Linked DNA regions of Tamandua tetradactyla. Each later gene encodes a partner of the first gene's protein in a complex. Links are inferred from orthologs where the notes say so. Each region holds a gene or a part of one and is shown on either strand. Other genes may lie near its edges. The genes, in order: PDPN and CLEC1B.

What was found.
Region 2: the proteins of PDPN (region 1) and CLEC1B are in contact, whole or in part, in a crystal structure (PDB 3WSR), measured with the Homo sapiens proteins. The link is inferred for Tamandua tetradactyla from reciprocal best matches to the Homo sapiens genes PDPN and CLEC1B. Residues at the interface, in NP_006465.4 of Homo sapiens: Ala46, Glu47, Asp48, Asp49, Val50; in NP_001380271.1 of Homo sapiens: Arg107, Phe116, Arg118, Arg152, Thr153, His154, Leu155, Arg157.

The regions. Positions count from the first base shown.
Region 1 is NC_135328.1:212,274,597-212,289,894, forward strand, and holds the start of PDPN (podoplanin), read right to left. Parts: upstream 7,471-15,298; 5' UTR 7,206-7,470; coding exon 7,139-7,205; intron 1-7,138. UniProt on the Homo sapiens protein: Mediates effects on cell migration and adhesion through its different partners.
Region 2 is NC_135333.1:72,462,627-72,478,304, reverse strand, and holds CLEC1B (C-type lectin domain family 1 member B), read right to left. Parts: upstream 7,322-15,678; 5' UTR 7,079-7,321; coding exon 7,006-7,078; intron 6,602-7,005; exon of another isoform or gene 6,484-6,601; intron 6,310-6,483; coding exon 6,211-6,309; intron 5,198-6,210; coding exon 5,081-5,197; intron 4,923-5,080; coding exon 4,771-4,922; intron 2,250-4,770; coding exon 2,143-2,249; intron 471-2,142; coding exon 326-470; 3' UTR 241-325; downstream 1-240. UniProt on the Homo sapiens protein: C-type lectin-like receptor that functions as a platelet receptor for the lymphatic endothelial marker, PDPN.

The DNA.
Region 1 (15,298 bases):
TTGGTCTCTTCTCTAAGGGACAAGAGATGTACACAAATAATTAAGATACAGCCATGGGATAGCCAAAACTAATTACAATGCTGCAGTAACCTGAACAGTGTGGTACTGGCATAAGGACAGACATATAGATCAATGGAATAGAACAGAGAGCCCAGAAAGAAACCCATATATTTATGGGCAATTGATTATTGACAACCTAAACACAAGACTATCTCCAAGACAATTCACTGGGGGAAAAATAGCCTGTTCAAGAAATGGTGCTGAGACAACTGGATATCTACATGTAAAAGAATGAAGTTGGACCCCTATTTCATGCCACATACAAAAGCTAACTCAAAATGAATCAAGACCTAAATGTAAAAGCTGAAACTATATAATTCTTGGAAAAAAACACAGGTATGACTTTATGTGAACTTGGATTAGGCAGTGATTTCCTAGGGCAACAAAAGCAAAAGCAAGAAAGAAGTAGATAAACTGGACTTTATCACCCTTCAAAACTTTTGCACTTTAAAAGATACTGTCAAGAGGGCAGGCCACGGTGGCTCAGCAGGTAAGAGTGCTTGCCTGCTATGCCCGAGGACCCGGGTTCGATTCACGGTGCATGCCCATGTAAAATAAAATAAAAACAAACAAACAAAAAAAAAACACTCCTTTAAAAAAAAAAAGATACTGTCAAGAAAGTGAAAGATGACCTACAGAATGGAGAGAATATTTGAAAGTCCTATCTGATAAGGGACTGGTACCCAGAATACATAAAGAACTTTTTCAATTCAACAATAAAAAGACAACCCAATTTAAAAATGGACCAAAGGATTTAGATATTTCTCTAAAGAAGATACACAAATGGCCAAAAGTACAGGAAAAGATGTTCTACATTATTAGCCATCAGGGAAATGGAGATCAAAACCATAACAAGATATTACTTCAAATCCACCAAGATGGCTGTGATCAAAAAGAAAGACAACAACAAGCGTTTGTGAGGACATGGAGAAATCGGACTCTCCTACTTTGCTGATGGCACAGCCACTTTAGAAACAGTTTGGCAGTAAATAGGGTTACCATATGACCCAGCAATCCCACCGCTAGGTCTATACCAAAGAGAACTGAAAAATACATCCGCACAGAAGCTTGTACACAAACATTCACAGCAGCAGTGTTCATAAAGAGCCCAAAGATGGAAACGAACCAAATGTCCAACAACTGATGAATGGATAAACTATGGGATTTCCATATAATGGAATGTTACTCAGATATAAAAAGGAATGAAGTTCTGACGCATGGTACAAAAAGAATGAGAGTTGGAAACATTAAGTAAAAGAAGCCAGACACACAAGGTCACACATTGTATGATTCCATTTATATGAGACGTTCAGAACAGGGAAACCCAGAGATGGAGAGTAGCATTAGAGGGAAGTGGGGAAGAGGTAGTAACTGCTAGATGGTTCAGGGTTTCCTTTTGGAGTGATGAAAATGTTCTCAAAATCAATGTGGTGATAGCTCTACAACTGTGAATATCCTAAAAGCCACTGAATTGTTTACTGTTCCCAAGGTTGGTTCTGTAGTATATATGTATATGAATCACATCTCAAAAGTGAAGTAAAAGTATGCTACATGCTTTTAAAAAGATTGATTCTATAGTATACAGAGTATACGAATTTCATCTCAATTTAAAAATTCTAAATACAGTGTGGAGTTATAAGAGGTGAATAAGAAACCAGGAAATACTGATGCCTAATGAGCTGGAAGTCTTGCAAGTTCTTCCAAGAATTCGATATCTACCCCCCACCCCACCCCAGTTGCTGTCTCTTCTCTAAGTCTCTTTCGCTCCCGACTCTCCCATCCCCCCCGCCCCAGACCCGTCTCAGGTCCTATACAGCCTCCTCATTATTAATTTTCTCCTGACGTAGTCATGCTCACCTGACTGACATTCTCCACCCTCCACTGCTGCCTACAGGAAAAGGCTCAGCTGTCCCACTCAACATAGACTCATCCTTCCCCCGGACTTCCTGACACTAACTCATCCCGTGATTCCAGCCTTCATGGCTCTCACCAGCCCTGGATGCCCCCCACCTGTTCCCACACAGATCCCAGATTGCTCTAGTCTCCATGCATTTGTTCAAGCAGCTTCTCCTGCCTGGCTCACGCTTCCTCGTCTGGTCTCGGCAGCCCCACCCACTGCTCACAGCCAAAATGAACTCCGGCCTTCCCCCAGGCTGCCCCTGGCTACCAAAGGCCACAACAATCTCCCACGTCTCTGAAGGCCGCAGATAACGGTGTGCCCTTCTTCCTTAAGACACCACACATATCTGTCTTGCCTCTATTTGAGAGCTGTGAGCACTCTTTATACTTCCTCTCTTATTCTCAAAGCTCTTAATAGCATGAGTGCCCTGTAAATGCTTAAACGGCAACTCAGGCGGTGACCATTTGGTGGGGGGGGGGGCATAGATCTTGCCATTTAGTTCTGCGCCCCCAGCTCTAGTCAAGTTCATCAATTAGAATGATCTAGCTGTCAAATAACAAGTGGCGTCGCTGCTGTAAGGGGCATTTGAAGAAACAAAACTGGCTGGCTTTCCTGGGTGTCGTCTGCGGCCCTGACTCGAGCATGGCCAGCCGCACTGCCGAGCGGAAATGGGCGTGTGCTGTAACCCTGGGCTGCCTGCGTGCAGGTCTCACGACTGCCATGCATGCCCCAGCAATGTGTCTGGGTGTGTGCCACTAAGCCTGTCTGAGCCTCTTTGCTCATCTATTAAATAGGAATTAAAAAGGAGAGATTTCCACTCCTACACTTGTTGTGAGGCTTAAATGCACGGGGCTTGTAACATACTTGACACCTGCTAAGTGCTCCTTAACGCCAGCTGTGGTTGTACAGATATCAGCACCACCCACTATTAGCACCATTCAGAATCCAGTTCCCTTCGCTTTACAGACTCAGAAAGTTCCTCCTCTTAGAAGGTGATCCCGCCCAGGTGAAACTGTTAGCCCACAAGTGGCCAGAGTGCCAATTAGTTTATTTAAAATGGGAAAGATGGTTTCCAATAGTCAATTCTGCCCTTCTCTGGAGAGAAATGCCTGATTCTCAGTATAGAGAATTCTGTTCGGTGTCCGAGAACAAAAGCGAAGGGTGGGGCCGCTCAGACCGAGATCCCCGATTCTGGGTAAAGCACCACGACTGGAATCAGAACCCCCACGGCCACCAGACCGAAGGTTGTCGTGCTAGCTGTAAGCAGTGGTATGTGCCTGTCCGTGCTGCACGCCACTGGTTGACTCACAGCAGTTACTCAATAAATATTTGTTTAATAAACGAATTCCTTGGTCAGGGCAGGTTTAATGATAATCAATCCTTGTTACTTTCTTCTTCCTTTCAAGATTCTAGGCAGGATGGGAATCCTGTTCTCCAAATCACTGCTTTTCTTACGTGATGGTTCCTGCTCCCGAATGGAGACACTTGGTGAGTTTGCGGGAAGCTCCTGTTCCCATCGGTATGTTTACAAGTTGTCCAGTGTGTCCCCTCAGTGGCCTAGGTAGTCGGTGCTACAAACTCAAGTGTAGCCATTGTGGCCCGAGAGTGCTGCAGCCACGTCCTCACCCCACTGCCCCGTGACGTGACGCTCCGCTGCCCTGCTCCTCTGGAGCTCAAGAGCGTGTCACCCTGCCGGGAAGTGGTGCCCTGACAATTCCAGCTTTCAGTTCCCCAGTGACGTGGGTGAGGTGGTCAAGTTTGCTGGATTCCCCCAAACTCAGTCTGATTCACTTCAAAGGCCTGAATCCAGCTTCTCTGAGCAGTTAGGCAAAGGCACTCAGTGGGACAAGAGGGCGAGCCCTCGACCCCTCCCCGCTGAAGCTCACGGGAATCCATGCCGGGTGGGCCACCTGTCTGCAGGCTGGCTGCTGGCCCTGGGACTGAACACGGAGAGAGAAGCAGTCACCTCACACCCTCGGGGACCCTCGGATAAAACAGCCAACCACTTGCCTTTCCCAGAAATTGTTAAGAAATCAGTTGGGGAAGGAATCAGAATGCCCATTAACAGAGGCTTTATCTCTCACCCCCTCCTACGGGACTCCTAAGAGGAATCTCAGCAACAGTTTCCTGGACTTTAGAAGTGCTCGGCCCCCTCCCCCATCCCACCGCTCATCCTTGGAGTGTCTTCACACAAAACTCTCCCACGGGTGCTTCCTCCGAGAGGTGTGGATGGTGGCAGGAGGGCAAGGCTCCCAGGAGAGCCAGGCTCCCAGGAGAGCCTTGCAGGCGCCTATGCAGATGTAATGAGCGGATGCTGATGGGTGAGTGCTGAATCTGAGTCCTCTCTCCCTCCTCCTGCCTCCCCCTCCACAAGCTGGAACCTGACATGGCTGGTCTGAGAAGCCAGAAATATGATGACTATTTAGCTCAGCCAGTGGAATTTAAAGGCCGGGCTCACTGCTCTGCCGGTGGAGCGTGGGAGGACACTCCCTGATGCTAGGTCCTGTGCACCCAGCACCCAGGGGAGGCTGCCTAATTGTCTGCGGGCTGAATTAATGAATCCTATTTTAACGTCATTTTCATTCTTGGAGGAATATCATGGTGAGCGGTGAAAAGGAATTTTTATACCTTTTAAAACCGTGTGTACCTTTTTAAAAGTTTGCTTTCACGTTTAAGGAGATTAAAATGAGGTGAACCTTTAAATTTCAAGTTTAACCTTCATGTTTTTTTTGAGGCAAAACAATGGAGTGAAAAGAGCTTGGGGTTGGGAGTTAGACTTATTCTTGAATCCCAGCTCTGGGATATTCTGAAGATAATTATGTATAATTTAGCAGAGTTAGGAGGCTTGAATGAGGTAACCTATGACATGCCTAGCGAGTGGTGGGGGCTGGGTATGGGAGAGAGGTGGTCTCTTCCTGCTTGGCTGGACCATCCACTGAAATACCAACATTTGGGGCCTTCCTAACTCTCAGGTATATAAAATCACTCATTTGCACTTATTTCTCAGGGGCCAGGGAAGGGCAGAAGGGGCCACGTCCCTCTGCTCAGCAGGGCTCAGTCTTGCTGGCCATGTCTCGACTTAGCCTGCTCATGCATGGGCAATTTTTTTAAACGTGCTTTTCGGCATTAAATGACATTTGGGATCTCATTTCCCAGCATGACGGATGGGCAGATGTCACAAAGCCTCTCACAAACCTGATCTTTATTAAATGCTTGATCGGTGCCCTCAGTGCAACAAGGACTCTCACCGCCCCACGAAAATTTCAGGACCTCCCAAACTGGCAGGAGTTTCGGGGAAATCACAGGGAAATTTGTTGGCAACATGATTAATCCTGGGTGGATTCGTCCCGGAAAAGCAGTAACTTGCAGAACGTCACAAAATAAACTGTGTAGCGGAGAGGCCTTGCTGTGCGTGGTTTGGACTGAGTGTGGGGCCTGGCCATTGAGGCTTCCTGATTCCCCCTTGAATCCGCTGTGTGGCTACTGATCCCCTTTGAATCCACCCACATTCAGAGGGGCAGACATATGGGACCAGATCATAAAAGGGAAACAGATCAGAACACTGGATGAGGGAAGCCCAGCCTTGTGGTGGTTCTAGGAGAAGGTTAAATAAAATCCACCACCATAATTACCCCTAGCCCAGCTCCCCAACAGCAGCCAACAACAGCTCAGCTCAATGAAGTTATTCATCCGTATTCAAGTTGCCTCACTCATTATCCGCAGACAAAACCCCTGCAGGGCCTCTGCTTTTTGCCCGCAGCCCAGCCTCAGCGCCGCCCGAGTGGAGCTTCTTTCTAAAGCAGTGGAGAGTTCCTAGCACCAGACTTGGTTGTCTGGTCAGACAAAGGTTCATCACCAAATCTGAGGAGGACAGTTGGCCTCCGGAAGATAATTACTGCTCACCCTTCCCTCGGAGAGGACAGAGGACATTGCCCAGCTGCTCTTTCCTTAGTAGAGCTGGGATCGGGCTCCGTCTGGGGACCTCCCACACCTTCCACTGGTGAGCACAAAATGGTGTCATTTGCACACTGTCTCGCCAAAAGGGAAATGTAATTGAAATGCAGAAGTGTATATATTCCACTGGAAACAGAAGTTCCAAAGTTAGGCCTGCCACGAATAGCGCCGCTGGCCTCTCTGAAGCTAATTGTCTGGCATAGAGTAGCGCAGGCTGCATCATTTCCCTAAGGCGGGGTATTTTTATCTTTGTATAGAATTCTGGAAATCTAGCTTAGGCTCATCCCTCCCTCAGACCCCTCCCCATTCCGGAAGGGCTCCTCAAGACCAGGCCTACCTCACTCCTTACCGGAGCTGACCAGTTCAGACAACCTCCAACCCCAAGGATCAATACCCGGTTAACGATTCCTTCTTGGGGACTTAATGAGCATCTACTACGTGCCACTATTTTAGCCCTAAGCATCAAGGCTACGCCTAGCCGTGTCCTCAAGAGCTTTTAGTCTACTGGGGGAAACAGATGAAAATAAAAACCCAAGGTGGGGAAATATGAAATAATGACATGTGCCTGCATGTCACTAGGATACTGGCAGAAAGAGAAAAGGAATGAGAAGAGGATGTAAGAGTAGGAGGAAAAAGTAAGGGAGACCATGCAGTGCCACCTCTGCCCCGCTTCTTTAGATCAAATGCTTTTAAAGTCCAGGAGTCACTAATGCGTGGCCCCAAGCCAACGCAAACCTCAATTTCCACAGCAAGACTTTGGATCTTTCCCTATCCACACCATCCTCTGTAGCAGAGGCTGCTTCCAGCACCTCCCCAGTGGTGGGGTCCTGAGTGGGTTCTCCATGTGTGCAGCCCCCAGGGAGTCAAACGCCCCCGCCGGGCCCCCCAGCCCTTCCCACGTTCCCACCCGGCTCCACTGGGCCCACCTCTTCTGAAGCGGTGGGCATTCCCCACAACACACAGCCGCCCCTGCAGGGAAGACCCTTGGCTCCCCACCCTTCGCTGCCTGTGGATTCGGGGGCTCCTCCTCGGCTGTCTCTTGGGGACTTGGCACCGGCTGAGCCGCTGCCTCTCCTCCCCGCGGGGGCCGAGCCCGGCATGCACCAGCAGTCCCCGCGCCCGGGCGCTCTCCTGGGCAACCTCGAATACCAGGCCGAGCATTCCAGCAAGTCTGCGCTCGTCTCCCGAGCCGCCGAAGCCCGGCCCCTGCCGCTGGGCGCTTACCTCCTTGTGCCAGGACCCAGAGCGGGGCGCTGCCCAAAACGAAGAGCAACGCTAGCACCTTCAACATCTTTCCGGTTGGGTCTTTCTCTTTGGGGCCGAGCAGCTAGCTTGAAAGCGGAGGGGCGCGGGGGAGAGAGAGCAAAAGCTCGGCAGCCCCTGGGCTGGAGGGGCCGGGGAGTGGCGCCTGGAAAGCGGGGAGCAACAGCCCCAGCGCGGGCGGCGTCCCCCGTCTTCCTTCGCTGGCGGCCGCGGCGCGGGCTAACTTTGCAATTGAGAACTTCGGGAGCGGAGTCAGCATTTATCTCTCCCAGCGAGGGCGGGGAGCGGGGTCCGCCGTAAGGTGGTCCCAGGCCCGGGCGCGCAGGGCCCGCCCTCCCGCTCTGTTTGGCCAGCGCGAAAACCAGGATCTCGGGCCAGGTTTAAAGTTACAGGGCGGCGCTGCGGGGGCCGCCGGGACTTGGGTTGGGGGGCCTGAGCCCTCGCCAAACTGGCTTTAACTGCGTCCAACCACCGGAGGAAAGAGGAGTGCCTACTTTCGTGACCGGGTAGGGGGGTTCGCGCACGCCATAAGCCTTTTTGTCCTTGACATTTTTATTTTTTAGGAATAAAGCCCACGCTTAGGTTTTCCATCATTAGGTTTCTGAAGCCAGAAACAAATTATTCCTTGTGTGGCCATTGATTGTAGCACCAAGCAGGGAATTGGTCTTGTGAAATTCGAATTGAATGGCTTTTTCTTTTTTAAGCGACTCATCGCATCGGGGTGGGCTCCAGCTGGTGGTAAATCGCGCCCTTGGTCACGGGACCCCGAGCGGGCCGCGGCGGGGCTGCCCGGGAGCGAGTGCAGGGAGCTGTGCAGAATCGTGGGCGAACACCTGTGCCCACTTCGCTCCGTGGCGCGTCCCTTTTAGTGCTGGAGTTTGGCCGCTCCTTCCCCACTTGGCCGGTTTGAGCGAGCTTGGCCCCCACCTCAGGTGCAGGATGTCAGGAACAGGAAGAGAATTTACCGGTTTTTTCTTTGTTTTAACTTTATTTCCTTCTGAACCGCTTGGATTTTTAAATTTTTACTTTTAAGAAGAGGCAGTGAAGAGTCCTCCACTCCCAGATGCCACGAATTCCGTTCAACAAAAAGAACCCAAAGGTCCGTGCTCCAAAGCTCTGTTCTAGGGTGAAAATGGTTGTTTTCAGATACTTTCACTAGATCCTGTTGCCAGAGGTACTTTATGATAAGACTTTCCTGGGATGGTTCTTTAAAAAGCTCAGAGTTCTGGGCTCCCCCCTTCAAGCTCTTTAAATAAGACTCTGGGAAGTTTGGACAGGTGCCCCAGGAGAAGTTAACAGGCATAGCAGTAAATCTTGCCCTCCAACAGTGCTTCTCAAACTTTAGCTTGCAGGTAAATCACCTGGGGGGCTTGTGAAAATGCAGGCACAGCTTTGTGGGGCTGGATTGGGGGGGTGGTGTTCTGCATTTTTAAAATCTCTGGGGTGAAGTCTGGGCTCCCGCTAGGGCTACAAGGTAAAAGCTGAGAGCCAGAAGGAAGAAGTAGAAGAGGCGCTGGAGAGCTGAGTTGGAAAACTAGGGACAGAGAAGAGAGCCTTTTCTGAACTGACTTCCCCATTTTGCTAATACATTTTAATATTCCAACATGAATAACGTTTGAGGAACTGTGTAGTAAATGTGCTATCCTTAGAGCTTGTTAGGTAGAAAATAGCTGCCCAGCCCACCTCACCTACGGCAAATTTCGTGGGCATGCAAGGGTAAAACACCTTTAATTGGAAACTTGAGACTGAATGGAGCCTAAGGGAGGGGTTAAATGGAGTTAATTTAGAGGGATGCTTGGGGCTAGTTATTCAAGAAGACTGCCCCCCTCCCCAGAGGGAAGTGTCCAGAATCTAGAAGGTCAGTTACGGGCCTGCTGGTGGGGGGAGGGGTGGTGTAATAGGGCGTTGGACCATGCCGGAGCCTTGGAGAACCAAGAAGGGCCAGAACAGGGCAAGTCTGTGAGCAGCTTCTCGGGGTTTAAATAGATGGGAACAGTGCCTGGACCTGTGATGAGGGGAACCTGGAGACCAGACAGAAAGGCTGTCTTTCCTCAACAAAGAAAGCAGCAGGAGAGAGAGGGAATGCTCTGAGCCAGGGTCAGGCTAAAGAAACTGCAGGAATGCACCTGAGATTTGGAAGCCTGAGCTCCGCTGGAGGGAATTACGAAACAAAGCAGCATGTGCTCCTAAAGGGATGACTTTGAATGGTGACGAGGATGCTACTGGTGCGAGGCCATTTACTGACCTTTACTATGCAAGCCAGGAAAGGGAACTCTCATTAAGTCCTCAAAATGACCTTGAGTCAGAAACATTGATAAGATCCATTCTGCTTAAGAGGAAATAGGCTTAGAGCACTGGCTTTCAAAAGTGGGCGACAGCCTGCATACACACAGTTGCAGGGTGGCAGGTTCAGATACAGCTGGCTGGAGCTCCTTCCAGACTTTCTGGGTCTTTAGGTCCGGGGTGTAGTCTGACAATTTGCCTTTCTAGCAAGTAGCCAGGTGATGCTGCTATGCTCAGAAACGTTGGTTTAGAGCCCATGCAAATGGTCTGGGCTCACACAGCTAATGGTTGGTGGAGCTAGCGTCCCTCTAGTCTATTGCTGAGCAGGACCTGAACCTGTTGCCAGTCTGTGCCTTAAGGATTAGCAAGGAGATGTCTATCAGCTGTTTTTAGGAAGCAAAAGGCCCCAAAAGGGAGGGAGACCAGGGTGTGAAATGAGAAGGAGCCAGGAAAGGTCAGGAGAGTGCGGAGTATGCAGGCAGGACCCTCCATCCCAAGGGATGCTAGAGATGGAAAGTTAGGGATACCTTGGTGTGCTGGTTTGAATCTGTTATGTACCCTGGAAAGCCATGTTTTAATCCTGATCTTATCTTGTGGGAGCAGCCTTTTCTTTTAATCCTGATTCAATATTATAGGTGGAGAATTTTGATTAGATTATCACCGAGGCGATCTGGCCGGCCCAATTGTGGATGTGACCTTTTGACTAGATGAAAATGTGACCCCATCTATTCCAGGTGGGTCTTGATTGGCTTACTGGAGTCCTTTAAAAGGGGAAACATTTTGGAGAGAGCGCAGAGCTGATAGGCAGAGCAGATGCAGACACCTGGAGGGCAGTTGCTTCAGAGCTCATAGAGCTGTCGGGAGACCTGAACGTTTGGAGATGCAGAGCCCGGCGGATGTCGCTGTGTGCTTTCCCATGAGATGCTGAGCGGGCAAGAACCCAGAGTTGTGTCTGCAGGAGGGAAGTGGAGGCCCACAGATGCCAAGTGAGGAAACTGCACAGGAAACAGAGGCTGAAAGCCACGGAGTCCAGGAGCAAGGGACGAGCAGATGCCAGCCATGTGCTTTCCCAGCTGACCGAGGAGTTCCAGCCCCATTGGCCTTCCTGAATTAAGGTATTGTTCCCTGGATGCCTTAATTTGGACATTTTTTATGGGCTTAGAACTGTAAACTTGCAACTTAGTAAATTCCCTTTATAAAAATACCATTCCACTTCTGGTATATTGCATTCCAGCAGCTCAACAAACTAATACACTTGGGTTCCCCACTTTCTTTGAGGACTCTGTGTATTCTGGAGAACTGTGAGCTGAGCTTTTCTAGACTGCCTGGGAAGACTTCTCAGTATCTTCTCTTCCTTCTAAATACACACTGTTCTTGAATTGAGCTGCCACCTGAGCAAATCTCTGCTTTCAAGTGGGGCTCCATGTCCCAGGAATGACTCATACATTTTGAGACATGAGCTGAGTTCCAAATGTACATAGCAGGAATGAGTTGGGGGTAGGGGTGAGGGTGGCCCTGGACCTGAAGGAACCCACAGCCAGCTTGATTTGCTGGAAAGGGCCTCAGTATTTGGAATAAAAATCCAGCTCCACAGATGACATGGGGCAACATCTGGAAGTTTCAATTTCTGCTTCTTTAAAATGGGGGTCTAATTCCTATTTTGGAAGGCTCTGTGCACAGCAAGGAGCACTGCTACTGTAAGTGCTGTGATGGTTGTTTCCACCAGGCCCCTCCTGTTTCTCGGCTCCTTTAGTCCCCCTGTGCCCACCTATGCCCACCTGAATACTCACCAAGCCCCAGGCCCTAGGTCAGAGGCTCTTGACATGGTACCAATAGAACTGGTTTCTTTTGACCTTCAGCAACCCAGCTGGACCAACAAGCAGAGACTCAGCATCTAGTCATCCTTCTGCTAGTCCAATCCTTACCTTGAGCTTATCCCTGAGAGCCCACCCTGGAACCCTGGGCCCAAGGCTCCCTCTGGGAAGTCAGAACAGCAACACCCAGAGCTAGTATTCTGCACAGGAGCTCCAGCTCAGAAACTAATTCTTGCCACCTGCCAAGGATTGCATGAATAGAGAGCTGGCTTGTGTTTCTGACAACGACCCACTCTTGGGTAGAGGTGGCCACTGGGGGCCTCTATCTCCAGAGCCCCCATTGCTCTCCCAGGGCCCCCCACCATGCTGGCTGCTTCAGTGAGCAGCCTGCCCATACCAGTGGTCTGAGTTAAAGGGTGTCATGTTCTATTCCAGCAGCTGCACACAGTTTTACTCATGTACCCCCTAAATATTTTTTGAAAAGCTAGGTACCAATTATTTTTTATCATATAGTTACATAGTTCTTTATAGGTAGAATATGTTATTCTTTATGATATATTAAACTTTATAAGGAATAAGGTGAAGATGAACTATACCTGGAAAAATAGTACATGATCTGATTTGATGAAGCTTGCTGGATAAGTGCACTGACTATGAAAAAATTATAAAAAATGTTTATCTGTGAATGTGAATCACACATTTGACATTTTTTGATAGAAGACCTGGAAAACTTTCCAAGTTATGTTTAAAAGAATCAGCATCACTAACGGACACTCTTTTTTTTAAAGCTGAGGCACTTTTATTAATTTTTTCATTATAAAAATACACATTCATTAAAGATAATGTGGAAAACAGGGGAGTAGAAATGCCATATGCCCAGATTTCTTTGTGTAAGTTTGTCTTTTGATATAATTTCAAATATATGGAAAAGTTGCCTAGATCTATCCATTCATTTACATTTTACCCCTTTGCCTCATTCTTATTTCTATATTTACATCTACATGCACATTGCATTTGTTCTGAATAATTTGAGAGTTAATGGCAATCGTAGGTCCTTCAGCCCTAAGGAGTTCAGCCTAGTGGTTTGGGGTGTGTCTGATGTTTCCTCCTGATTAGATTCAGCTGTGAGTTTATGGCTGGATGGTGGAACGAGGGTTGGCCTGAAGAGCCACCTGACGTCAGTTTTGAATATTGAAGATTGCTAACTTTAATCCCTGGATTAAAGGGTTCTGATTCAAAATTGGGAACTCTCCAACATGGAGCAAACACCTCCCTTAACAGAAGACGGGGGAGGACCAAAAGCTGCTTCCCAGACACCAACCTTTCACATTGGAACCTGGGGCTGAAAAAAAATTTTTTTTTTCACCCCAGAACATGCACCAAAATAAGATTTGGGATGGATAAGGATCTGCCTTTATTTTGTGCATGGGAGAAAGGCTATTGCGAAGGTGTTGTGTTCATCCCCAGTTTTAGGAGAAACATGAGGATTTTGACATTGATTCTCTTGAACCCTTCCATGACCCTCAGAAAGTCTGTGTACCCCCAGTTTGAAGATCACTACCCTGTTCCCCTGTGGGGCTGGATCTCCTCCTAGCATTAGGTCCACCTCACCCCAACCCACCCCACTGTAATTAGAGGATTGAACCCAGTGTGTTCCAAGCTCTCATCTCTCTGCCCACTTTGAGGGATCATGAGCTCTCCAAAGCCAAGGGCTTATTGGTAGATTTAGATATATTCCCCTTTGTAGCACCAGCCAATGGCATATGCTCCATAAATATGTGTGAAAGGAAAGCTTGTGATTTTGTCCAAGAAAGGTCCTTGTCATAGAAGACTGACTCCCAGCCCACCCTGAGACACAGTGATTGAGCAAATGGCAGATGATATAAAGCCAGCTAGCTTGGCCATATGCAAAGACAAAAAGGGTGATTTCTGAAATGCTGGAAAAGCCCTGCTGTAATCTCTCCAAATCTCCGTATACTTCCCCCTCTTCCTTGTAAACGTGCTGATAGCTAAAATTCTATAGAGATTCATTCCTTAGCATGAAAACCTGATCCCTTTTAGAATGCAAGTAAACCTGGGAAGAATTGTACATTTATCATAATTGGTATTTCAGAAGTCAATGTGGATGGATTTCTCTCCCTATGCCAAGAGCAGGATTTGATAAGGTGATGAGGATGAAAGTTTCCTGGATGCCGTCAAGGAGCAGAAAACACACAAAATAGAAAGCCCTGTGTTGTTGGAGATTCATTTTACCCATTTCATAATTTGGTTTGGATTCATGCTGTTTTCCAGTTGCTATTGTAATGCATTGATTCACTCACTGAATCACTTCCTTATTGAAGCCTATTACATTTCCAAGCAGTGCTCTCAGCCCAAGAAATGCAGCTGATTGTCCTTTCTCCATCCTCTACTCGACAGATGTGATGTGGACCTACAGCTCCACTTTCACACACTTGGGTAAAGGAAGGTCAATTCATCCTGGGCCATATCTCCGGTGGTCAAGGCATGGCCCCTGTGACTATCTCAGGACAAGGACCAAGGTGTAATGTTCAGTTTTTCACTAGTTTATTAAAAGCATCTGTCTTTTGCTTGGAGCAATAAGGAAAACGTTCAGTGGTGTGGATTAACAAACTTCTGTACTCTGTTTTCCTGGGAAGTCATTGGGGCTCTCACCTAGACATGAAGCTGTGTGAAGGGTGAAATCCACGGGCTCTAGAACTGAGAACTCTGCCCTGGAGAGGGCATGACTGCTACCCTTAGAGGAAGCTGAAATAGCCCATCTTATATATTTCAGTTCTGACATTGGCTCCACACTACATGAAATAAACAAAAGAAGAACTCAGGCCAATGGGAATTTTTATCACAACAAATTGATTTTTAAATGCTACCCTACTCCCTCCAAAAATTCAATAAGTTTGCTGAATATACCAGTTGATTTGAATTTAGATATCACTGGGGGTTGGGGGGAAAAAAAAAGGAGCACCGATTACTTTAATGGGTTGGGGGCATAGAGCCAGTTTAAATTTTTTTAATCCTCACTGAATTTATAATGGACAGACAAGCATTGGGAGACATTGACTTTTTTTTTTTTCTTAACCATTCACACCAATACACACAGAAAGCTCCTTTCACTGTTGTGTTCAGAGAGCCTTTCATTATAAAGACTCAGCACTCTGCTTGGAAAACAATCTGAATGAATGCATCTCAGTGTGGGAGGCTTGGAAAGTCAAGTAGGGACAGGGCTGGGAGAGGAGGGAGGCGGGTGTTTACTTACTGCTGTCTTGAAGGTTGATTGCCTAGAAAACATTGACACCAACCTCTCTTACCTTAGTTTCCCTGGGTGTAAACCCGTGGAGATGATGGTGATAAGGTCTCTGTGTGTCTGGGTGCTGGAAAATTGACCACAGTGACTTGATCCTTCAATCTGCAGGCTTCTGCCCGCGTGCAGAGAGTAATGACAACAAACCTAGTGTGATGCCAGCCTGGAATTCCCTCCCCAGAGCGGGTCATGCCCTCCCCAGAGATTAGGCCACACGGCCGGCCGCAGTACAAGCTCCCACCCCTCCTGCCTCCACTGCCTCAATCCTTTTGGAAAACTCTGGATTTTAATAGTATTTTGAAAACCCTTTTGTTGAGGTCCCAAATCTGTCTTCATCACCGTTCAGGAATCTCATTGAAATATTCAGACGTTAGTATCTGCCAAGAGGTGGGTTTGGGCATGACAGCAAAACAGGAAAAGGCTGAAAAGTTAATAAAGCTGGAAAAAACCCCACAACTTTTATGTCCGCAGTCCCCCCTGCCCAGCTCGCCCCAGCTGGCTTTCAACAGGGGAAATTTGGCCACAGAGCGGGTAAGTCCTCCCCTTTGTTTTGAAACAGCATGTTTAAGGTTTCCACAGGGCCAGTTTCTCGTAGATATTAGAGGAACTCAGCTGTTCACTTCAGCAGAGCCAGGGAGCCTGATCATATTTTTATTACCAGCACTAGCAGCAGGGAGCTACAATACAGAATATCTATTCTTTCAT
Region 2 (15,678 bases), on another chromosome or scaffold:
CTAGACTTTATTGTCCCTATTTTAACTGTAGAGGTTTATATCTGAAGATGGACTTAATCATACTGTATTCAGATAATCAGAAAAGGAAGACAAGAAGAAAAGGATTAATGGAAAGCAGAACAAATGGGAAAGAAACGATCAATTCAGAGCTGGCTTTTGGGTATGTAAGGAAAGAACAAAGTGATATTGGTAGTGAAAATTTCATAAAGATGACTCCAGGGAGCAGAAAGGGAGTAATACAAATTTTACGACTGGTAATCCCTTCGTCCATATCTTTTATTGTACATTCCAGCACTTGTTTGTGATATCCTGTCCACCATCTGCATTAAAGTAGTTTCTCTGTATTTGCCATGTTAGCTTTCTGCTCACACATTAAAAAACGTTTGCTATTGCAGAAAGAAGCATAGACTTTCCCATTTTCAAAATAGGCACAATTCATATTTTCTCTTCCATCTCCAGAAAGATCAAACCTGTGGATCAAAAAGGTAATATAAATTCTTTGGAAAGCTAAATAAACAATCAACAATCACACTCTTTGCGTAGTATTTTGTTTCCCCCAAGGGAGGAAAAGTATAAAACAAAGTTCAGGACCTTGAGAAACTTCTAATCTGCTTTGGAGTACAAGGTCTGTACATTTGAAAAGCTCAATAGCGATTCAATATAGCGTAAGATTATATAGCAAATGAACAGTAGGAGCCCAGAGGAAGAGATGGACGGGGGTCTGAAATGATGGAGAAGGACTTTATTTGGAAGATCATACATAAATTTTGTCTTGAAGGGAGGGTAGGATTTCGATATGAAGAAAGGGGACAGAAGAACCTTGCTGGGCAAACAACTGCATAAAGTGGGAATAAGACCAAGGAAAAGAGAGTTGATTGAATTTTTTGAACTGAAGATTTAGTTTTAGAATTGTGTATATGAGGCAGTATATTTATTGTATTGTAATTTCCCATTAATTGTCTATGTTTCCAACTAGACAGCTTATGGTAATAAGACAATGGACATTTATTTATTCATTTACATGATAATATCTGTGAAACAACTACTTTGTGCTAAAGACTATGTCCTTTCCATTGGGAAACTTGATAGAAGCCAACAAGGAAATGGTCAAGATGACTTCAGAGATTTGTAAAAGTTATGAAGAAGCAAAGCAGTGACATGAGAGACTTTGGATGAAGCTACAGGTAGGAGTGAGGTCAACTTATTTTGATGAGTAAAGTTAGTCTCAATGAGAAAGTGATGTTTAAACAGAAACCTGAGTCACAAGGGGAAGCCAGTCATGGAGTTCTGGAATCAGGGCATTCTAGATAGAAGAATTCTCAACTAAAAACGTCCCAAGACAAGAAAACAAGCTTGATTTGTTGAAAGTACAGTGGGAAGACCAGTTTTTCTAGAATACTGTGAATGCAGCAGTAAATAATATGAGATAAAGTCCCAAATCTGTGAAGAGGCCTGCTTGTAATCATACTATCCTAGCTTAGTAATTGTCAGATTGTATGGGTTTTGGAAACCAGTTTAAATTTGAACTGGGGAGGCATTACAGTTTGAGATACAGGATGAACAGAAAGTGTTGAGACTGGGGATTGGAAAGTGATATCAAGCAACTCAATGCAATTGGCTTGGTTGGTGGGGTCCTCTGAGGCAGGATTGAGCCTCATGAAGTGAACATTAAACCCTCCTTGTGGACCACAACATACCTGATTCTTGGAGACCTCAGGATAGAAGACTAGGCAAAATGATACTGAAAAGTTAAAGGGATCCTCAAGAGAATAACTTTCAACCATAAGATAATGAAGATGATAATTTTAATTAAAAAATAGTGGAGAGAATCAGAGCAAGGGTCAAAAAAAGCAAACTGTTCCAATGGTAAATTTCAGGGAAAAATGAATGGGGAAAAACATGGGGGTAAAGGTGGATTGTGCCTTAGGTAATGAAAAGAATGGATGACAGGGAAAAGTAGAATTGCCTTATTATCAGTGCTCTTCTGTTAGGAGTAGGGAGTGACTCAGCTGCTGCTTACATAACCCACTGTAGGATATAGGCCTCTCCCAACTTGTAAGTAACTAGCTCTCAGGTGGGAACAGGATTACAGGAATAAAAGAAACTAATAGTGCTTTGTATTCTTAATATTCAGTTACATACATGTCCTTGGAGAGAACTGAGCCATCTTCCCACATCCAGATCCCATTAGAGTTCTGGCGGGATAATCCAATCCAGCGAATTATAGTAGTCCTGCTTTTAATATAATTCTATTGTAAACACAAATAAATACAATGGTAAGAATGTTTCCGCAGCCTTTGGTAATGACAGAAAGACAAAGCTTCATGTAAGACCTTTGACAAAAAATAAAACTGTTGGATTATGTGTCTATTTTAATATTGATGGATTATCCTTTACATTTAGAATTGTACCAAGTTGACTTTAGAATGAAAAAGAAAAGCATATTTGTTGGACACAGGAAAAATTATAATAAAATATCTGGCACTTTAATGATCCTGTGTGTTTATAATATACAAGTATATCTTCTATCAATTGAAGATTTAAACTTCTACCAATTGACTACCAAACAGAATACCAAATATGATTTTTTTTCAATTTAATATAGGGAATTTATTTTTCCTGAAGGTTACTTTCATAGAAATTATGATGCAAAGAAAAAGAAATCTTTGATCACTCATTGGCTGGGGAAAAATGGAAAAATGGAACATACCTTGATTTTTAAATATATTTGAAAATTAAACTCAGCAAAAGTTTAGTAGTTATTTTTGTGAAAGAGACAGAATTCATTTTGAATTGCTTCAGACTATGTCTGAAGGTTTTACTGAAATTATGGCCTGGTCTTAGGAGTAATTAAAATATGACTTTTAAATGAGATAAACAGGAAAATAGCCTGAGAAAGAAAATGAAAAGAAATACATTGTTGTAAATACTTTACATTGCCCAAAATTCAGCTCTACATGCATTTGGTTTTATTACTTAGCTAGCCTATAAAATATTGAATAAAAAATTATTAATTTGTTTCGTTTGATGGGCAAAAATAGAATTATATTAAGCCTTTCTCAAAGGAATTTATAAATAACTTCATATATCTACATTTCGTAATTTACTTTTGTCTCCTCAGCAATTATCACTATTATACTATATTCTATAGCTATTTGTTTTGTTTACTGTCTGTTGCTCCAACTAAAATATAAACTCCATGATGTTAAGGATTTTTGCCTGTTCTGTTTACTGAATAGCTGCAGGTTCTGGAAGAGTTTTAGCACAAGTTTTTGAATTAATGGTGGGTGAATTGATTAATCTATGTGAAACAAAACCAAAAGGAATGCAAATGTTCATATTTTCTCATACCTTTCCAGCTAATAACTCGATGAGAATACATTCTTGGCAACTAAAAATATAACACAGATTTCTTGACGTTTTGTGAAACACAGACTGACACTCCACAAGAAGTATGGTATGAGAATCATTTTAAAATACATTTGAAGTTTAGGGCAGTGCGATGGTGGCTCAGTGGCAGAATTCTAGCCTGTCATGCCAGAGACCTGGGTTCTGGGTGCCTGCCCATGCAGGAAAAAAAAAAAAATGCATTCTATACTTCGCTATTAGACCAGACAGGAAAATGCTACCTACCTGAAATTCAATTATTCCTTATTTCTAAAAAATTATTTCACTCTCCATTTTCATTATACATTTCCAAACAGGAATCAGACTGCAATAATAAGACTCAAGAAATGCTTATATGTCTCCATTGCATCTTTTTGTGCTGGAGTTGAGATTTTAGGGCATTCTCCCATTTCATCTAATCTGAAAGAATTGATTTATTTAGCTATCTTCTTTATGAGTCTGAGCACACAGAAAGAGTAGGTTGATGATACAATAATTTAGAATGATAGAGTACCAAAAATCATAGAATCCGAATGGTCTACACTTATGAGTTCTGTTTAATCTTTGCATATAGATCAAATCCCATCTATTCCAATTACATTTGTGTTCTTTTTTTAATGTAGAAAACTGTGAAAAATTACTTTCTTAGAAACTGTAGGATAAAGAAAATTCCTACCTTTATTTAAAAAAATGCTTTGATAAATTTATTAGATAGAAGGGAAACAACAGGGCTTAGTTTCTGGCTTGTTCCAGGTTTAATGAAGAGAGAAGCTACATTTCATAACAAAGGGAGAGCTTAGATGGATCAGAATACATTTTGCTTCATCAGAGAAAAGAGAAAAACATTACAAAATTGTCAAAAAGAGAAATGTAGAAGAGGAGATAGGTTTAATAGAAAGTTTTCAACTGAAATCCTGTATGCTTTGCATATGAGATTACTCCCAAAATATATGTTTAGGAATGCTTATGAAAAGAAAAGTTTTGCTGAAGTTGTCAGCAATTTAGCAGGAACTGAGAAGGAATTTAATATTGGGATAACACTGTTATTTATAGTTTACAATCATATCGGGTGTTTTTTTCGCACTTCCCAATTCTTTTGTAAATAAGTTAATAGAATTGAGGTAGCTAACAGAGGTGAAATGACTTGTGGCAAGATAACACCAAAACTCAAGGTCTCTTGAGTCCTAGTTCAGCACTCTCTACTCTCGAATGTTGCACTTTTTACTGAGCTTGATAAGGTTCTTAGGCCAGTGCAAACTGTAAGACATAAGAGAAATGTAAAAAAGTCAAAAGTTACATTTAGAGAAATGTAAAAAAGTCAAAAGTTACACTTAAGATTGTTTCCTTATGACTCCAAAACATTTGCCATAGGAAGCTCCTTACCAGAATGTTCTGGCTGGCAATCTTCAGAAGACTAGCATTCCTGACAATACAGTATTGCTTACTCTCTTCCCACGTCAGGTTGTGCTTGAAGAATCCATAGCAACGATCTCCATAATATCTCCAGTTTTTGTCACAGGGGCTGCTTTGTTGGTCTTAAGGAGAAACCAAGCACAGGAACCCTTTCATTGTAAATCTACCTTATATTTTCCCCACATTCAATGTTTCCCAAGATCTCAAGATTCCATTCAGATGTCAGTGCAGAAATACTCTGGAGGCAAGGGAGATCCAGAGGCTATCAAATAATACTTACTGAAACTGTCCTGATCTGCTTCTTTTCTTAAATCTTGACAGAAGTGCTTTGCTAATTGTTGCAAAGTTTCTGAGAGATTTTCATTTTGGGCTCGTAGGTAATTTTGCTGCGTGACAGCTAGATGTAAAATGTAGACAATTTACAATCAGGACCATAACGGTGATGCAAAGACCTTCGCACTGGCTTTCATTTCAGTATAACTACTAGTCTATGGGAGTTTACTAGAAACAGATGAGTAAATGAGTTCTGAAAAGGGGTAAGGAAAAGTGGGACATAAGGCACAAATTAATAAATATGCAAAACTAGGGGTTATCCAATGAAACAGTGAATTATATTTGAAGGAGACAATCACTGATAAGAAAATCTCTTGGTCAAATAACATGCCCAAGAAGGTTATTTTGACATCTCCTAAGCAGAGTTAATAAAAGGTCAATGGCCTCTGATATTTTCTACTCTTCATGTAAGATCAGAATATTTATTCATTTAAAAAAATGCATACTTCTTTCTTGTTATGCTCAAAATACAAAGAGATTCAAATAAATAAAAATGGTGAATTAAATATTCTTGAATATTTTATGAAAAAAATAAACAAGAATGCACATAAGCAACAGCTATACAGATTATAATGTGACATTGGAGCGCTATTAAGATTATAGGAAGAAAAAATAATATTTATGAATTAGGTGCACTATAAATGATCTCTTAGGGTAAGTAAATAAATTCAGTGAACAAAACAAGATGGAGAACATTTTTGGAAGATGGGATAAAACGAGCAAAACTTCAGGTGGGGGTTGTAGGTTTTATTTTTGAAATTGAGAAGACTGACTTGGCTAGATCTTAGGTAGGGAGAAAAAATGTGTTTTAAAAGATAGTTTGAATTCATACTAAGGAGAGTTTTTGAAAGCCAGGTTAAAATTCTTGAAAATAAGTTTTAATAATGAATAAATTAATTAGTTAAAAAGTGATTTTGATCAGGAGAAGAGATAGTCAGGGCTCTCTTTTATTGAGAATTTCTTGATAGATATGTATAGGATGGCCAAAGTAGTGACACATAGGACACTTAAGAGCTCAATGTGAAACAACAAGACCCTTAAGAATTGCCTATCTCAGATCAATGAGTTAATACTTACACATAATCCCCAGAACCACCAGCCCAACAACCATTCCCACGCACAAGATCAGCAGAGTCAAAGCCATCATACGCCACAAAGGTGAGGAAGCAGGGTCAACTGTTGGCAGATGATAAATATGTCAGCGAGCAGGCAATATGGCACAGCTATGGGACACCATCATCCCTGCCACTGACCTCTCAGAATTTTCCAATAATAAAAATAGCTTCATGAGCAGATCTTTCCTGTGTTCCCTTGGTGACCATCAATACTAAGCATAATCTTCTCCCTCACCTTACATCCATCCCCATCTCCAATGGACCACTCTTCTCTGAGCCAAAATATTACCAGCAGTTAAAGTTTTGCAGGTTTGTCTTTCTTTTGGGTTCACTTCTTTAAATAATTGCTTTAATAAGCTGTAAATAGAGAATCACATCCATTTGCTGACATTTTTAAAAATAGTGGTTTCCAGACATCCCCTCCCTGACCTCCCAGTTAAACTTTACAAGTCTTTTTTTTTTTTTTTTACATGGGCAGGCACCAGGAAATGAACCTAGGTCCTCGGGCATGGCAGGCAGGCATTCTTACCTGCTGAGCCACCATGGCCTCCCCCTTTACAAGTCTTAATGTAGTGTTCACTGCCTGCCTTTTGTTTTATTTGAAATGCCTATGTAGATACCACACAAATGCTCTAGAGAAAGAATGCCATTCAGGAAAAACAAGCAAATAGTATGCTATCACTAGAGGATAAAGGGAAAATAGGGTTGACCTATTTCACTAATTAATTTCCAAATTGCTGGATATGGGCATTCTTACCTGTAAGTCCTGAGTTAAGAGTTGGTTTCCGAGATTTAATGTTTAAGGTGATGTATCCGTCTTCATCCTGCATGGCTTCACTTGAAGGGTGAGTGAGTTCAGGGCACAATGACTTTGCAAAATGTAGTGTCTACTCTCAGAATTTCAATGTCTGTTCATCTGTGACCCTCCTCTACTAGAAGGGTAGAGCTCTATGATTTGGAATACATGTGGTTGTGCTTTTTTTTTTTTTTTCCCAGGAAGTTCTTCCGTAGCTACTTAGAGATCCATGGACACAAGGATAGTGAAAAATAAAAATGTAATAATAATAACTTGTGGTTAAGGAGTAGATAGGGCATTTGTTTCCTGTTTCCTTATCTTCAGCTCCAAATGAAGGGATATTCCATCATGCATATCCTTTCAAAGAACAAAAGTTTGTTTGTTTTTTTTTGAAGTCACTGTTCATCTAAACCCTAGTGTAGTCTAAATCAGGTTATTTTAAACGAACTGATGGCTAACGAAAATTCATGAACTTAAACACTAGCAAATAGAGTACCTCCTATCCTGAGGACTCGGTCTGCTATAATTTGACCTAATATTGACCAAATTATTGTGTCATTGGCTTGTGGCATAGGGAATCATTCTCATTTAAGATCTAGAATTTACCAAATTCTTGCATTTTTCTTAAATTAATGTAATATACATCACAATATACGTATCCACATGTTCAACTTTATGACATGGGGATTTAAATTTTTAGTTCAGTTTATATTGAAGTTAGTTATAATAAACAGCCATGCAAAGTTAGCTGCTGTGCTCATTGTGGGGATGTTTGCTGAGGATATTGTCTATTTTGCCATTAGGGTAGCTAATCATTTTATAGTGGATGTTTTATGGAACTTCCATAGTCAGAAAAGCTGAACAACTAGCAGACATTTATTCTTTAACATGCTATTTAGGGAGCATACTCCTTCCTTTTCCCCATTATCTCCTTCACTCTGAATTCTTTTTATAATTTAAAAGTAATTTTAGAATAATTTAAATAACTTTATTTTTAAATTTCCTCCCCTATACACCTCAAATTATTTTGAGAATGAGGGGAATAAATAAAACAAGTCAAAATAGACAATGAAAGGCATTGCCTGAATTTGAAATCCCAAATTTCTGTGTGATTCAAGTATTTTCACAAAAATTAATCCTTAATCAAAATTCCCACTTGGCATCAAATAAATGCCCAGTTTAATAAAAGGAGAAAAATCATACAATCAAATTTCTTAAATTTCGAAAACTAGTATGCCACAGAGTTTATCTCAGTTAAAATATTCAGTGGTTCCCGATCATAAACTAGAGTAAACTCAGACTATTTATTACTCCACTGCGCATCTACCAATGCTTCTGAACGTGTAATCTGTCTCAGCTGAAGTGCAGAACAAACCTAATCTTCCAGTTTTAGGAGTATTTCTCAAAACTGGAAATAATTCTGGAGAAATTATTTCTCCAAAACTGGAGAAATAATTCCACCCTCCCTCCCTTCTTTCTCTTTCACCCTAACTCTCTCTTTTTTAATAGTTTTTTTCTAAAATATACAGGAATACTGATAGATAATTGTGACTAAGTGATCAACAGAAGAGAAAATAGGTGTGGAGTGTATGATTCAAATGGCACGTTTTGAATAAACCTTTACTCTGTCCTAGTAATCAAACAGTTAACTTCGAATATGTAATTATTTAAATTGAATCTCATATGCAAACGCAAGAACCATGGATATTTGGAAATCTCCATTATTATTCTAAAATTTTTCTTATTTAATTAGTAGAAACTATAACATGGTATTAAATGTGATAATTAGCTTACTTTGATGAGTTTTCTATATTCTCTAGGCCTTGGGCAATTGGTTTAATTATTTAAAAAGTCTCATTTCTTATTATTATTCCCTAGGAATATGCCAAGATTACCTATTGATTCATTAGTGCTTAAATCCCTACATTTGTCACCAGAATTAGGTAAGCTGAAACGAGTAACGTCAAACTCAGATGATATTCATTTGTCAGGATCTGGACTTTCTTTTGGTCTTCTCCTCCTCCTGATTGTATCTACAGATGTAGCCCAAGCCATGGACTGAGGAATTTATGTCCAGATCTACATTCCATAAAACATGCATTTGACCTTTATTTATATTCTCTCCAAACATGGTGGTGGTGTTTTAGATACATATTTTGTTAGTTGTGAGAATGACTGGGTCAAAACATCTCCTGATAATGTGCTCTTTCCCTCCGCATATTCTATAAATATATGCGGAGTTACTCAGAAAAATGAAGCAGAGAACAGAGTGAAAGAGAGAGATGTAGAAACTCTTCTCTTTCCCTAAAATTCAGAAGCTTCTAGATGTCTTATAACCATCTTATAGAGCTCAAATTATTATTGACATATTTTCTTTCCCTTGTATATTTCATCCCTTCCTTTTTTTTTTTTGGCTCAAGAAACAATAGCTGAACGATGCCCTTTACTCCAAATTTCCTGGTGAGTCTGGACTTGCAATAAAAATCTTTATTTGTTTAATATTTTAAAGATTGAGGGACTTTTACATAAATTATCTACTTTGTTTTAAAACAGAAATTTAATGGATGTTAATTATGTTTCAGATCCTTTCATTTTTGCTGAGCATTCATGGAAAAACTCATGGAGAACAGATTATTCATTTTTAGCTTTCTAAGCTTTAGTTTTTTAGTATTTAGAAAAATTCCTCCTACCACCCCCACCACATAATGACCGCATTTCTGCCCCTCTTCTTTGCTTTACTTTTTTCCATAGATTTTATTAAATTCTTGCACTTATGAACCTAAGAATGTATCCACAGATCTAAAATAGTGACTGACATACAGTTACCATCTAATAAAATATTTTTTGAATGAATGAATAAATAAATATACAATGGAGGTTATTATTCTAATGTTATACACATAGGAAGAGAAGATGAAGGTAATTGTGAGACTTTTCTATGATCATAGTACTTGTAAGTAGAGGTACCATTTATCCAGTTTCCCAGTTCAGTGTTCTTTCCTTTGCCTCTTTTTTAAAATAAGTAATTAAAAATAGTAACAGTTTTTAAATATAACATAAAATTAGACATTTTAACCATTTTTGAATGTATAATTCAGTGGCATTGATTACATTGCAATGTTGTGCCACTGTCACCACCATCTATTACCAGCACTTTTAATCTCTCCTAAAAGAAACTCTTTACCCAGATACCTAACTTCCCATTTCCTGATCTCCCCAGCCCCTAATCTGTAATTTACAAACACGTCTATTAGTTTGCTTATTCTAGATATTTCATATGTGTGGAATCGTACAATATTTGTCCTATGGATCTGGCTTATTTCATTCAGCAAAATGCTTTCAATGTTCATCTGTGTTGTAAGTGTACATCAGAACTTCATTCCTTTTCATGCAGAATAATATTTCATTGTATGGATATACCACATCTTGTTTATCCATCCATGTGTAGATGGACACTTTGGTTCTTTCCACCTTTTGCTGTTGTGAATAATGCAGCTATGAATATTGGTATAAAAATATCTGAGTCCTTATTTTCAGTTTCTTTGTATACATACCTCAAAGGGGTATTGTTGAGTCATATGACAATTCTATGTTTAACTTTCTCTAGAATGACCAAACTGTTTTCCATGGTGGCTGCACCATTCTATCAACAATGAACAAGGGTTCCAGTTTCTTCACTTCCTTATCAACACTTGTTATTTCCTGTTTTTATTTTCATAATAGCCATCCTTTGTGGGTATGAAGTGATGTCTAATTGTGGTTTTTGATCAACATTTCCCTAATAACTAATGATGTTGAGCATTTATTCGTGTGCCTATAGACCACTGTTGAAGAGATTATTATCTTGAATAGATTTACCATTCATCAAATATCAATTGTTTATATTTATGTGGGTTTATTTTTGGACTCTGAATTCTATTTCAGTGTCTAAATATCCATCTTTTTGCCAGTGCTACACTGTTTTGATTACCTTATTTTTATAGTGACTTTTGAAATTGGGAAGTCTGAGTCCTCTAACTTTGTTCTTATTCAAATCCTTTTTGCACTTCAGGACCCCTTATAATTCCATATGAATTTGAGGACTGTTTTTTTCCATTTCTTTAAAGCAGGATGTTGTAATTTTGAAAGGATTGCATTGAGCTGTAAATTACTTTGGGTAATATTACTACCTTAACAATATTTAGTCTTCTCATCAAGGAAGTGAAAGGCTTTCACACTGAAAATTACAAAATGCAATGGAAAGAAATAAAGACCTGCATAAATAGAAATTCAACCCCTTTTCCATGGATTTGAAGACTTAAACACATGTCAGCTTTACTAATGAGAAAAATAAAGTAATGTGAGGTTAGGTAACTTGCCAAAAGCCACAGGACAAGTAAGTGTTGATATTGGGTTTAAAACAATTAGTCTGTCTTCACAGACTTTCACTTTTTTCATGTTCCAATAAAACTTTATTTACAAAAAAAGGGAGACAGATCAAGCCATAGTTTGCCAAACTATGTTTGATGTAATCTTGGAGAGTCCTTACAATTAAAATATAAAAGATGAGGACCTGCACTGTGGTTGTCAGTGCACCTTCACATCATTCTAGAACATTGTCTCTATCAGTAATACAGTGATAAGAATCACTACCACTACTTGAGAACCTATGGGTGAAGCATTTTTTGTACTTTGTTCACCTCCCAACAATCCTATGGGTGGATATTATTGTAACACTCATTTTACATACGAAAGAACTGAAGGTCAGAAAGTTTCCCTAACATGTCCATTGACAAAGAGTTGGTAAGAACCCAAAGCAAACACTGTGACTCTTAAACCTTTGTTATGTTTTTGCCACTTCATGGCTTTAGATTAAAGGATTAAGATGGTAGAGAATCCAATTTCCTTGACAGGGAAAACAAAACAAAACAAAACTTAAATATACTAAATTAAATGTTAAACCACAATAATTTCAGAGACTATTTTAAATTATAAAATATCTTAAAATTGTAAAATAATTGGCATCTTAAAATGCTATCTTTCAAGACACAAAACCAGCAATGGAACATGCCAATGCCCTCAAAGAACTTGTCATCTGTCTGGCAAGACACAGGAAATAATGAACAAAAATAAAGCTCCAGCTTAATTAGTTACAGTAGAAGTGCTTTTAATTGCCCTTTACTCACCATACTTGACAAATAAAATAACACATTGCTAACACTCAGCCTGATGCCCCCAGGACCCTGTGAGCATCAACAGTAGACCTCTTGGGTGCTCTATTAATTTTCTATTGCTGTTATAGCAAATTATCACAAATAAAGTGACTAACACAAACACACATGCACACACACACACACACACACACACACACGGATTTATTATCTTATTTTCTGGAGGCTAGAAATCCAAAATCAATCTAAAGTAAAGGAATTGGCAGGGCTGGTTCCTTCTGAAGGGCCTGAGGGGCAAATGCTTTCCCCTTACCTTTATCCACTTCTACAGGCTGTCTACATTCCTTGGCTTGTGGTCTCTTCTTGGCATCACTCCAACCTCTTGTTTCTGTCATCATATCTCTTACTACTGACTCTGATCCTCCTGTCTCTCTCTCTCTTTTTAACTTTTTTTATTATATAGTATAACATACACAAAGCAAAGCAATAAAAAAGCCATAATTTTCAAAGTACTCTTCAACAATAGTTACAGGGCAGATCCCAGAGTTTCTCATGGGCTGCCATATGATTGTCTCATATTTTTCCTTCTAGCTGTTCCAGAACATAGAAGGTAGAGGGCTTAAATATTTTTTTATCATCACAATTGACTTTTTTTTCCTTTCTTTAGTTGTGAAAAATGACAAATATACAAAAAAGCTATAAATTTCAAAGCACAGCACCACAATTAGTTGTAGAACTTATTTCAGAGTTTGACATGGGCTACAATTCCACAATTTTAGGTTTTACTTCTAGCTGTTCTAAAATACTGGAGATTAAAAGAGATATCAATTTAATGATTCAGCATTCATATTCATTTGTTTAACCCTATCTTCTCTGTAGAACTCCACCATTACCTTTGATCTTTCCATCTCTCTCTTTAAGGATGTTTGGGCTATGGCAATTCTAAATTTTTCATACTGGAAGGGCCTGTCACTAATACAGGTATGGAGATGGAACTATCTGATGTTCTGCAGAGGCTGGGCTAGGTTTCAGGACTTAACTGGACCAGGGACCCATCTGAAGGTTGTAGGTTTCTGGAAAGGTATTCCAGTGCATGGAACCCTTGTGGAATTTTATATATTGTCCTCGGTGTTCTTTAGGATTGGCTGTAATGGTCCTTGTTGGGGTTGGCAGATTATGATTGGCAGCAAGATCTAACTGAAGCTTGTGTAAAAGCAACCTCCAGAGTAGCCTCTTGACTCTATTTGAAGTCTGTCACTGATACTTTATTAATTACAATTCTTTTCCACCTTTTGGTCAGGATGGAATAATTGATCTTATGATGCCAGGTCTGGATTCATCCCTGGAAGTCATCTCCCTTGTCACCAGGGAGACTTTCACCCATGGATGTCATGTCCACGTAGGGGGAGGGCAATGATTTCACTTGAAGAGTTGGGCTTAGAGAAAGTGAGGCCACATCTGAGCAACAAAAGAGGTCATCCAGAAGTAACTCTTAGGCATGCGTATAGGTAGTCTAAGCTTCTCTGTTACTTACATAAGCTTCACAAGAGTAAGCCTCATGATTGAAGGCATGGCCTATTGATTTGGGCATCTCTAAAGTTTGACACAGTATCAGGGGATTCCCTGATGGTAAGGTTTAATAGTTCCATATTCTTTCTCCCATCCCTCAGGAGACTTTGCCAATACTTTTTGATTATCTTGTTAATTTACTCTAGGATGTATCTAGGCATTACAATAATCTATACAGGATTAAAGGACCTCTTTCGTATTCTGTGCTCCCTGTGTTTCAAATGTTCAAATGAGCCATACAGATAGGTTGAATTAGATTATGTACTACAGAAAATTTCAGTTCCAGACCAAATAAACATTTCTTCCATTGGTCTCAAAGAGTATGTGAGGCTGTAAAATACAGGCACTGTCTTCCTTACCCCTATGTTTTGAATTACTTTAACTTTAACCTGTTCAGGTTATATATATATATAACAGCCTGTCAAAATCCAGAAATAATAATCACCACTCTGGATTTAAAGTGCCTGCTCTAAAAGCTTACAGTCTAGGCCCCTGTTTTCTTATAAGCATTTTCTAAAGGTGACCATACCATTCTTGTTCTTTTGTTTCTGGCTTATTTTGTCTCACCAAATGCCCCACATGTTCATTCACATCGTTGCATGCCTCATGACTCTGTTTCTTTTTGTAGCTTCGTTCATAAGTAAGTACCAATCTACTTCTTCGTCAGTGCATCCTTCAGCCACCTGCATTCATGGGCATCATGTATAGTGCCCAAAGTCCACAGTCCATCAACATTCTCAATTTTAGATCATTTCATTGTTCCCAAGAGAAAGAAAACCAATAAACATACTCTCACCAAATAAGAAATCTAAAACTCCTCTTAACTCTTGTCCCTCCCCCCATTATTTAATTCTGCTATTGCTGTGGTAGTGCTGATGGTTTCTTTTTGAACATAGCTCATAATGTGCAATAGCAGCTTTCTCCCTGTACCCTGGGCTTAAACACTTTTCATACCTTTGAAGTGATTCTTGTGAGAACTAATTCATATTTCTAGTGTTAATCAGTGGAACACATAAGTCTATATAACCCATTCAATTTTGTTCATCTTCAACGTGGTAATATTATTTATAGACCCACTAGAGAGACAGCTTCCCTTCTATCCCCTTACATTGGAGTTCAATCTCATTCACAGCCTTTGATTTTAATCAGGACAATTTATTATCTTTATTAAGTGAATCTACATTTCAAAATAAATTCTATCCCATATCTCATCCTCTGGCTCCTCTTTGTGGCCATTTTTTTCTTTCTGGTTGTAATTTATCTTTGCTTTTTGTTTTTGGTATTGTGGGGAATCTTGTTTGCATTGCTTTTAATAAACAACTCTGAATTAACTCCTGTTCTGGCATGCTCTGGGTACTATCCAATATAGGATCTCTTTAAAAATGTTCTCTGAAGTAGACCTACCATGTGGGGATGGAATGATCATCGAGGAACACAGAATGTGACTTCCAGTAGTTTAATATTGGCAGTATTTTAATGTCTCTGAAATCATCAATACTTCCATCTTTAATACCTGTATTCCTCCATTTCTACAGTGAACGGGATTTGCAGAAGGATTTAATTCATGTGACAGCAGGAAGACCAGTCAAAGATGATTCCAACTTTCTGACTCTGCTATTTGGAGTTGCCATTTACTGAGATAGGGAATCCTAGAATGGAACATGTTGATAAGAGTTGTTTATTTTTGGATATGTTAAGTTTGAAACTCCTGTAACTTATTTAAGTAAATATGGCAAGTCAGCAGTCAAATGTATGGGCCTGGACATCAAGCCCCGTAATAGATAAATTTGCAGCTGTGCATTACATGCTGGTTATTTTAAGCCATGAAGCTAAAGGAGCTCATACAGAGATGGGTATAAACAGAAGAAAGAGAGCCAAGGACTGAACTCGGGTACACCAACATTTGAAATCAAGA